Linked DNA regions of Drosophila melanogaster. The protein of the gene in region 2 interacts with the protein of the main gene of each other region in a pairwise test. Each region holds a gene or a part of one and is shown on either strand. Other genes may lie near its edges.

The links. The genes of interacting proteins can lie anywhere in the genome.
Region 1: the proteins of CenB1A (region 2) and SNCF interact in a two-hybrid assay, tested with the Drosophila melanogaster proteins (one large-scale study listed by BioGRID).

The regions. Positions count from the first base shown.
Region 1 is NT_037436.4:13,376,908-13,379,709, reverse strand, and holds SNCF (SoxNeuro Co-Factor), read right to left. Parts: upstream 1,128-2,802; 5' UTR 1,089-1,127; coding exon 648-1,088; 3' UTR 520-647; downstream 1-519. Other genes in the region: CG14111 (uncharacterized protein), read right to left, coding at 95-438, 1,693-1,723.
Region 2 is NT_033777.3:23,116,816-23,124,408, reverse strand, and holds CenB1A (centaurin beta 1A), read right to left. Parts: upstream 6,010-7,593; 5' UTR 5,621-6,009; coding exon 5,568-5,620; intron 4,143-5,567; coding exon 4,026-4,142; intron 3,949-4,025; coding exon 3,855-3,948; intron 3,793-3,854; coding exon 3,628-3,792; intron 3,568-3,627; coding exon 3,424-3,567; intron 3,198-3,423; exon of another isoform or gene 3,156-3,197; intron 3,073-3,155; coding exon 2,777-3,072; intron 2,603-2,776; coding exon of another isoform or gene 2,582-2,602; coding exon 2,465-2,581; intron 2,397-2,464; coding exon 2,238-2,396; intron 2,177-2,237; coding exon 1,022-2,176; intron 967-1,021; coding exon 780-966; 3' UTR 192-779; downstream 1-191. Other genes in the region: CG31365 (uncharacterized protein), read left to right, coding at 1-112; Rassf (Ras association family member), read left to right, coding at 6,871-6,910, 6,985-7,079, 7,146-7,328, 7,395-7,583.

The DNA.
Region 1 (2,802 bases), on a different chromosome or scaffold from region 2:
AAATTTACGTTTTCATATATAGATTGAGTTACAATTGTTTATATTATTTGACAGTTGTTTAAAAATAGATTTCTAAAATGTGAAGGAATCTCACCTCCACATTTTCAAGATCCAGGGGCTGTTGCTTAAGGAAGTGCAGCGGATTGGCGTCCTCACTCAGGTTGTTGTACTCATCCTCTGATAAGGCGGGAAGACGATCGTTGTGGAAGTCGTCGTCCTCCTCCTCGATTTCGTGAGCCTGTATGGCGGACTTGGCTGTAGGATTGGATTTTAGTTTGGGAGTTGTGGCTGTGGGTGTGGCGGTGGTTGAGCTGGAAGAACCAGTTGAAGGATCTGAAGATATTGACTGCGGCAAGACCTTCACTGTGATGATGTCCTGGCTATTGTTTGATTTCGTTACATTCTGGCCAGAGCACATAATCCCACACAGGAGCAAAACTAAAGGGCAAGACATTTAAAATGAATAACATTATCACAAAGAACATTTCCCCATCGGTTGAAAAAAAAATATTTTGTTTTGCAATTTCCATGTGATATTTTATTTGATAAAATATTACAACCTAAACACTAGCGACTAACTTATAATAATGCCCCATCCCAGCCTAACAGCCTGCTCAATCCGACTTTTTCCTCTATAATTCCACAGGTTACAGCGTCGTCTTCTTGCCGTTGAGGATCATCTCGGTGAGTCCCAGTTGCCGGAATTGCTGCAGGCGCTCCACTTGATGGCAGAGGCGTTTCTGGAACTGCACCTCGCGGCTGAGTTCCTTAAGCTCGTCCACGCTGCAATCGGGATTGCAGCTGCCCATCTTCTTGGCGATTAGTTGGGAGGTAAGCACTATCTTGGCCTTGGACAGCCGGAGATAGGAAAAGTCGGCGCTGGCCCGCCTTAGTTCTTGGCGGTACAAGAAGAGTTGGTACGGGAAATTCACGGTGGCGGACTTGCGGCGGAGCTTCTTTAGAGCCCGCTTCTTTTGTTTCTTGAGCGGATCGTGGGTCTTCACCTTGTGTGGTTTGTCGGAATGTTTCTTTCCCGACTTGCGACTGGATTTCTCTGATTTGTGGCTGCGCTTGTGCTGGTCAATCATGGTGTGTTGCGGGTTGTAAGTCTCAGGAGTGAATGATGCCCCGACCAGGGGGTGAGGTCCTTTTAAAGGATCCGGTGGGCAGGTAGATCCTCCGCACAGGTATATTTGGTCCAGGTAATTAGCGGGTGCCAGTCACGCGCTTGCATGCCGTAAACCAAAAACTGTTAACAGGCTTTTCATTCGGGTTTTCTAAGGGATCCGGGTCGCCGGGAATTTCCCCGTCTCGTTTATGGCTTTATGACTAGCAAGATATCCGCGCACCCGGCTTAATCCTCAATTATGACAGCCAACTTAGCGCCGTTCGCACAGATCCTCGGGGTTTTGTGGCGATTTTTCCAGTCAAACTCAGCAGGGGATACCCGTATATCCTTCGTGGAATTCTCCAAAACCATGGATAGTTCTAGAAGCACATTCGATGGAAATTGGCAAGAAGACGACCCTGTCCCCCTAGAAATTTCTTGCTAACGCCTGGTTTTCCTGAAGGCAAGAGCTGCCTTTGGATCTGTTTTCACTTCACTAAGTTACATTCACATTTCTAGCTGTTACCAAAAAATCCTTTACACCTAACCCACATCGTATACCACAATTTTCGCATGGAACGCACCTCCGCAACTAAAGCTCCAAGATGTCTTCATGTTTCGTGCTTAATAATAATACTGAAACCACTTTTGGCATGCGATTTCTATTTTATAGCTGAGAAGGCAAAGTTTTTGGTTTGAGAAATTTCACTTGAATGGGAACAATGCGAAGTTCTACTATCAGAAATTTGCATATTAATTTCTCAATAGTCTGGCTCTACTTTTCTCTTTTCTGGTATTCTATGCAAATTTCGCTTCGCCATCTCTTGGCCCTACAAATTTAAAAGCCGATGTCGTCATTGATTGAGTCTCTTGTCTAAGGTGGTGGTCAAGGTAGTGGAAGGGGGGAATATCGAATAAATAATGATGATGCGCCACTTTTTCGGTTTATTTTGCATGCATTTTATGATTTTCGGTTCGAGAGATATTCTTTCGCCTCAGTGCCCAACAGAAGTTGTAAGGGTCCTCATATCTCTCTACTGCTCCATCTTTTCTACACAAAGAAAAATAAGTCATAGATTTGCGTATAAAGAAATAATAATACCAAATTATTTACCAAAAATAGAATTGAAAATCAGAAATTTAAAAGCAAAGGTATAGTAATAATGATGGTACAATTCAACTCGTTTCTTAATAAATACATTTTTGCTTAATTTTTTTTTCAGAACTGTTCTTTCGAACATGATTGTAAGATAGCGATTTTTCTTTTCAGTGTGGTCAGCCGGAATTAGCCAAGACCATTGAAAAGTCATCGATGGGTCACTGCATCCATTTAAAGTTCAGTTTATTTATCTAGCTGCCAGACGGGGAGCCATGGCATTTCCATTTGACTTGGCTCCGGCTGCCTTGCATAACGTTTCCTTCAATGTCCTTCATCTCTTGCGGTTTGCGTTTGTCATTAGACGACGTCTAGACCGAGATTCAGTCAGCCAGTGCCAGACATCGATCTGCGGCGATTGCCCCAAGAAGTTGGCTACACAAACTTGGCCATAGGGAAATGGTCGAAATTGGCAACGATTTCTTTGGGAATGAATTTACTCTTGGTTAAGCAGGGCGAATAAACAATTTTTTTTGGCAAATATATTTTTTGTATTTTTGTCAATAAGTTTTTGGCTGAAGTTCACAAAATTATGTTT
Region 2 (7,593 bases):
TCAGTTTAACGATCGCAGTGCGGTCCAGAGACATGTAACCACAATGCACAAGGTGAAGAACAAGCTCACAGACTACATATCCGAGACGAACGAGTTTCAAGCTGTGGCCTAGAATAGTCCCTGGACATGTTTTACCAATACACCGCAGATTGGACCACCATGTTTTACACCTGAAGAGACCAACTTTGATTGATCTGAATATTTTACAACTTTATTCGCGAACCTAGAGTGCTCACAACAGTTGGCACCAAAAATCATCAACATGATAGCGTTAAAACATTTAGAAACATGCAGCATTAAACAGTTTAGCAAACAAATACAAATCGGAACATTTGGAACAGCTCTGTAACAAGATACATATAGCTAGACGTACATTTTACAATATCGTTTAATAAATACCACATAAGACGATGTACAATTTTATAGGCAAATATACGTATTTTTAATAAACTCAACTGCTCTACGAATACTTTAAACTTAAGCTAATCGCCAAAAACGGATTCAAAATGCGCCTAAGAGAAAACGAACGATCGTGCCTGCCATTCGAATGCCAAATGCAATGAATAATATTTTCTTGTATAATCGGAAGCGCTTTTCAAATGAGATTACCAAGGGAAACAAGCCCGCAACGACATCCTTAGAGGTCGAAACCGTTTAACATTCCTGGTTAATGCGTTATAAAGCCAATAACAATCCAATATCACGCTATCCTAATAATTGGAACAAATTATTCCATAATATCCAGTAAGGTCCTAACTCTTGCGGCCCTTCTGCCACTGCTAGTCGGAGTTTGTAAGCGAGCTGCGCTGCGATTCGAGTGTATTTGAGTCGTGCCGCTGGCGCAGAACTCGCGTCTGGCTGGCTGGTAACTTGGAGAAGTCCTTCATTACGTTCTTGTACGTCTCATCTTCGCCATTGTACTCGTCGTTGGGTCCAATCTCGTCATTCAGTTGTGTCAATCGGAGTCTGAAACAAGAATGGTTATGTATCTGCCGGATTGAAGCTCTGCTTTCTTACTCACAGCGTTACAATGTCTGCGTTTTCCTGGTCCACTGCAATGTCCAGAGCCTTCTTTCCGTCACTGGAGGAGAGGTCGTATGCAGCTTTATGCTTCAACAGCAAATACACTTGGGCGATGTGACCCTTGGCCGTTGATATGTGCAGGGCGCTGTAGCCCATCTCGTCCACAGCATCGATGGCGGCTCCGTTTAGTAGCAAAAACTCGCAGGCCATCACGGAGCCGGAAATGACGGCCTGGTGCAGAAACGATCGTTGCCGGTCTTGGGGATTTTTCCACATCTTGTCGGCACCCAATGCGAAGGCCATGCACATCACTGGTAGATTGTGCACCACCGAAGCCATGTACAGCAATTGATTGGCGTCTAGCTGGGAGAAGGGCAGTTCCTCTGGCGACTCCGCATCTGACTCGCCATCGGTGCTCTCTTGATCGCTGCCCAGAATGCCGGGAGTCTCTAGTCTGTCAAGAGCCAGGTCATCGCCGATCACAAGCAAATCGTCGCGTGAAATGCTTAGTGACATCGAGGGAATGTTGATGGATTCATCATCATCGTCATCTTCCAACTCGTCGCCGGTTTTGGCTGTGTTATAGATGCTCGGATCATCGCTCAACGTTTTTGGGATCGAGCGCTGCTTCTGCCTTCGTCGAAGTTTCTTCACCGCCCACTTTCGCGTGCCGCCCAGCGACAGAGTAGCTCGCTTAGCGATACCACTGCCTCCACTCTCGCCGTCCTCTACCACGCCGCCACTGTCTATGCTCAGCACTTCGGCTGTCTCGCTGGCCAGCAGCTCCTGCGGTTTGGGCATACCGCAGACGAACCGCCGCTCCACGTACTTCGCCTTGATCCAAGCCTCGCGCACTCCGATCTCGCACTGCTCCGTGGGCTTTTTGAGCCCACAATCATCGCCGATGCGTGCCTCATAGATGCGGTTAACCACCTCGTTGCCGAGCTCCATCATTACCTTCACGTTCTCCGACTCCCAGGCATCCAGCGTCAGGGAACGCACCTTGCTGTAGTGCACACCCAGGCTTCTGTGCACTCCGGAGCACTCGATGCACAGGGTGATGCCCAAGTTAATGGAGGCCCAGCGTGGTTCGGGGCTCCTGCAATCGCAACAATATGCGTTGCCCGGTATCTTCAGGAACTCTTCCCAGTGGCTGAGAAATGGGAAATAATTCATTATTATAAAACTGGATAATACGGGTGATTCAAACATACATTCTACGCTTTGCGGGCAGCGAATTATTGGGTGCGTTCGTCGATTGTGGTCGCGAGTGATGCGTGGAGTCATGCTGGATGGCAGCACCGATGCTGTGCTGTAGCGCGGAAATCCACAGGGAAAGCATGTCAGCGGAGTCAGCCTGCAGGATGTGAGATCTAAAAAAAAAGGGGAACAAATGAATTCCTTTGTCTGACAAATGACAAATCAAACACGAAATACTCACTTGGTCGGCGAGATGACCTCGAAGCAGAAACGGCGGTCACCCTCGTTTACCGGGCGCACGCTGCAGATGCGCAGATCCTCCTCCATGACCGAGAACGAGTCCTCGTTGCTGCGTTTTCTGCAATGCGAATCCAAATCACTTCAGCGTACGGCCACAACACATCACATTACACCACACAACAAAAACATCACAAAAATCAAAAGTTGCAAACGAAAAGAAGACGATTGATTAACTAAGCAAGCAGATGGGATGGCATACGTATGTATCTGGATGGACTACGTGAATAGCAGTTGTAAGGGAGCGTCCACTCACCTATATACGAGCTGGTTGTCGCTGAGGTAGAACCATCGTCGGCACCAGGTCTTGAAGCCCTTGGACTTCTTCTTGAATAGGTAGCCCTCGATCTTGTTGGACGTGCTATTGGTGTTCGAGTCGCAGTAGCGATTAACGCTCATATGGCGATTCTGCATGGCCTTCTCCAGCTGCTGATAGTCACCGCGCAAAGCGTTCAAATCCTCGCTGATATTCTTAAAGAACTCGTCGAAGTCGTTGCACAGATCGAAGCCCTGGTGGTAATAGGTCACGCACGCCTGATAGTAATCCAACAGCTGCCGAAAAAAAAGAGCAGAGGAGACCAACATGAAAACGTGCCAAATGCAAAGAATAACGGCTATTGTTCTCCAGCCTTTACCGACAGCGGCAATCCAGCTCAGCGCACTCCCGATAGACAACTGAGCGAATTGGCCAGCGCACCGACTGACTCAACATGCTGATCATTGGTTTTAGATATGAAACCCATACATGCTCATGTTGATATCACAACAGTGACGTCATAGCAATAACAAACCACTGAAAGTTATTTACTTAGTGGAAGTTGAGCACTTCATTCATGGCATTCATAGCAATCGAACGCCGATAAGCAATACTTTATTGGCAAGCAATACTTGCCCTTTCCTTACCGTGGATAGTATTGAGGGGACCTTGCGAGCCTGCGCTAGCGTTATATAGTTGACATAATCCAGAGCGGTGTGTTGGAAGCACGATTTCGAGGCAGAAAGGATATTGGCAGCCTCCTGCATCTCCTGCGGTCGGTTTTTGCTGGCCTGCAATGCAGAAATCAAGGATAAGGCTATCATATCACCTTTACTGCATGTCCAGCTTACCTGAGCGTTTTTAATCAGCGCATTGTCATAGCCTTCGGAAACCTTGAGAAAATGTCCCTTATAGTCCTTCACCTGGTTAATGTCGTCCTTCACGAACACACTGAGATTTTTAAGCACCGTGCGGCTAGCCTGATCCAAGAGTATGGTGTGGAACTTGTTCATCTCCTGGAAAACAAACAGCACACAAGGTTTATATAGCCCATATAGGATGTCACTGAAGCGATTACCTGGAAGCAGTGAATCAGCTTGCCCAGCGCATTGTGCGCGTTCTTATTGTCGAGAAAGTGCTGTTGTAGATCCCACAGGGACATGGCAAAGGCGCTAAAAAGTCGAGAATATGGCGAATCGATGCCAATGAATATGAATGAGCTAGGATAATGGCGCAGTGTGTTGTTTACCTCTGGTTCTTGACATACTCCTTGCCCGAGTCCACGGCCACATTGCACAGCTTGATGATTTTCTCCAAGCGCTGCTCCAAGTGCTCGATGTCGCTCTCCTCCTTGGAAACAAATTGTCTGCGGGGCGAGAAGCACAAAAAAAAAAACAAATCGAAAACGTTAGCACAATATCGTCGAGATGTAAACAAAAGATGGGCATCGGCTTGCGAGTGAGCTGGTGATTAAAATCGTCTTTGACTGGCTGAGCAGAGTAAACATAATCAACCAGCTTAATCAAAGAAGTTATCGCGGGGGCAGCGGATGATCCGACGCTCTCACTCTGCCTCTGTTTATGTTGACACTTTTAATTTATGCGGACTTATTAAAGCGCTGTTTGCTCTTCCAATTGAACACGAGTCGCCACCAAGTGAAGAAGGAGGAGGATACCCCATCTCTGGGGACAAGTTTTTGTATCACTCTGTTGCGTCTTCTTCGGGTTTTTCTCGTCTTTTTCCCCTGTGTCATCCATCGATTTGTCGGGCATTGCTTTTGTTTTAACTTTGTGTTTATTTTCTTGGACGTACTCGTTCCAGAGGCTAGCTACATGGTAATTTCGAATGGAGGTCTGTCTATTTCAGCAGTCAATTCATTCTGAGAGTGGCTTTGAAAAGTCGTATTCCGTGATAATATTGCTATCATACACAGTTTTCATTTTAAACTAATGGCTTTCGAAAGCTTCATATATCTTCAAATATGTGTTCGTCATTCAAACGATTGAGCCAAATGCACAATGAGTTGAAGTTTTTGATAAAAAATAAATCGTTTAATTCTACTTAAAACTGGAAACTAGTTTAAGCTAGTTTAAAAAAATGCATAACATTGATACATTTTACTATGGTTGCGATAATATCTGCCTAGTTCTGAAGCAATAGAAATGTCCTACTTTACAGATCCTTAGATTTCTTATTTTTTATATGCATGGCAGAAAAGTTCACATATGATTCACATAATTTATTGTAGTGTACTTCGGTTTCGAAACACCAAGGTCAAGTTGGCACTTCCACAAATGATAAAAGAACCGAAGTGCAGGAGAATCCAAGATAGTCTTGATTTCCTGTTTTCTTTCAAGTGAAGCTGCTGCAGGTGCGAAAAAGTGGGGAAGATGTGATGGGGCTGCTGGGCAAACAAGTTATCGCCGCGTTTGTGCACCGTTTTACGAGGGAAAGCTTTTGTCTTTGGACACGATTAGTGGAGAAGCGGCAATTTGGGTGAAATCTTATCAATCAGCGGCGGGCATTGAAGCGTTCGCGGACGGAGACGAGAGCATCGGCAATTTAATTGCGGAAATAAAGGGGCAGGCAGGCACATTCCACACTGCTGACGGGACAAAGTTTGTTCGATGGATGATTAAGCCGCGTTTTCAGGTGGAGCAGGTGGGGCGGTGTTGGGCTGTATCTGGTTTTGGATAGTAACCAGTCACGCTACATGGAGCAATTCGAATCTCACGCCAAATGCGGCTCAGGATGGGCACACAGTGGGGGCGGGGCTGCAGCTTATATGCACCTGAATCTGGGAGAATCCTTCAGGCACTCCTCGAACTCGATGGTGGCGCGCATTTTGGCCACCACGCAAGCAGCACCTAGACTGCACTGCTGGCTATTTCGCTACGCTAATTGAGGCCCGTGAATCTTTGTTGGCCTGTTGCTGCTGCTCTGCTTTGCTTTGCTTTCCTTGCTGAAGTGGGGATTTCGATGCGCGATTTTCGAGGGCGGCTCTGGGAGAAGCTAATTGCGGGCAGCAGGAGATATGGTGATTAGTCGCATCCTTGGCAATCGACGGCTACACACGTTGAGCACTGGCCCTAATTAGCGAAACTCGCCAATTTACGCGATTCGGGGCCGAATTTACCAAATTTACACAGCGCGCAGAGACAACAAATTAAAACGTCTCACTTTCTACTAGAGCAGATCGGTGTGCCCGCACTCGCAGCGAAAACAAATCTAGCAGCGCGAATGGTCACACACTTTGGCGGGCTTATTTGCTTTTGCTCATATCTTTTAAAATTTTAAATGTATTGAATGCTTAGTGTTTTCCTTGTGCTGATTTTCGTTTTAAAACTCGATTAGTTACGAAGATTTCAATTCAAAGGCATAAAACAACGCACATTGACATTGTCAGCACGGTTTATCAGTGTTGGAAACTTTTGTAGCTAAGAAGAAGCTAATTAGGAACTTAAATTCCCTAAAAGAAGATACAGCCCAAAAAAGATTTGGGTTCTAGCCATAATCAATGTAGATGTATTTAAAGTACAAACGATGACAATTTTAAACACCAAAACAAGCAAATCCGTTTCAAGCTACCGCCAGCCAAGTCAAATCTAGCTACAAAACAGATCAGCTGACAGCACCGCTGGATTTTAGGGTGCCCGCCTTGTGCGACAAGAATCCGCGGCCAGTGCTGCACAAGTGCCATTTTTCATTTCATTGTTCTGTTCTCTTTCTGCTGGTGCTGTTTTGGTTTAAGTGCAATTATCCACACAAGTACGCACCGAAAACCGATGCACCTGCACCGTGCACCAAGTGTGGGAGTGCCCAGTGCCAGTTTCATTTATAAAACTATGAGTTTCGCACGGCAACCAGCGCAGCTGACCGACTGACCGATCAGAGTCTCACGTCCCCCCTCGCCTCATGTGTTTACCCCTTGTCCAGCGTTCTATTTGCGTTTCGTGTCCGCTTTAAATCGCCTCATTTGCATACAACTCGACGGCTTTACGTCACAACTCTTTAAAATCGGCGAAGTAGAGGAGGAGGAGTGAAACACGCCCATTCCCGGAGGAAGCATTAGACCGACCTGTTTGGAATCCAGAATGTGGAAGTGCCACAAGTGCGGCAAACCCGTTTACTTCGGTAATGCACCCACACACGAGCGCATTGCGATCCGTAAATAACTTGTAAATTATATTTATTTATGCCCCGCACAGCGGAACGTAAACAATCGATCGGCTACGATTGGCATCCGGAATGTTTGCGCTGCGAGGAATGCGGCAAACGCTTAAATCCCGGCCAGCATGCTGAGGTAGGAGGATCACCTGTTAGTTAGCCGATCATGTGATCTATATAAAGCCTTTTGTTTTCCTTTCAGCACAAAAGTGTGCCCTACTGCCATGTGCCCTGCTATGGCGCCCTGTTTGGACCCCAGTTGTTTGGCCACGGCACCCGGGTGGAATCGCACAAAAGCTATGGGGTGAAGGGAGCCCAGAAGCCAACCGGAGCTCAGGCCAATGGCCCGCCACTCCCACGTGATCACCTGGAGTCCAAACTTAAGGTGCAGAACGCAATACCCAGACATATCAATATCTCATGACTCACCAAATTCCCTTTTAATGGGCAGGTCTACAACCAATTCTACGACAACAAAAGCCTGGAGATACGTAGTCGTGAGGTCAACAACCGGTTGGTGCTGGAAGGCGCGCTTAGAGTTTACTGGGGCGTGCAGGGAGTGATTCATCTCAAGGAGGACGATGATCAGCGCATCTTAGTGCGCAAAAGGAACTCTTGCCGTGTGTCCAAGGCTGCCAATGTAAGCTGAA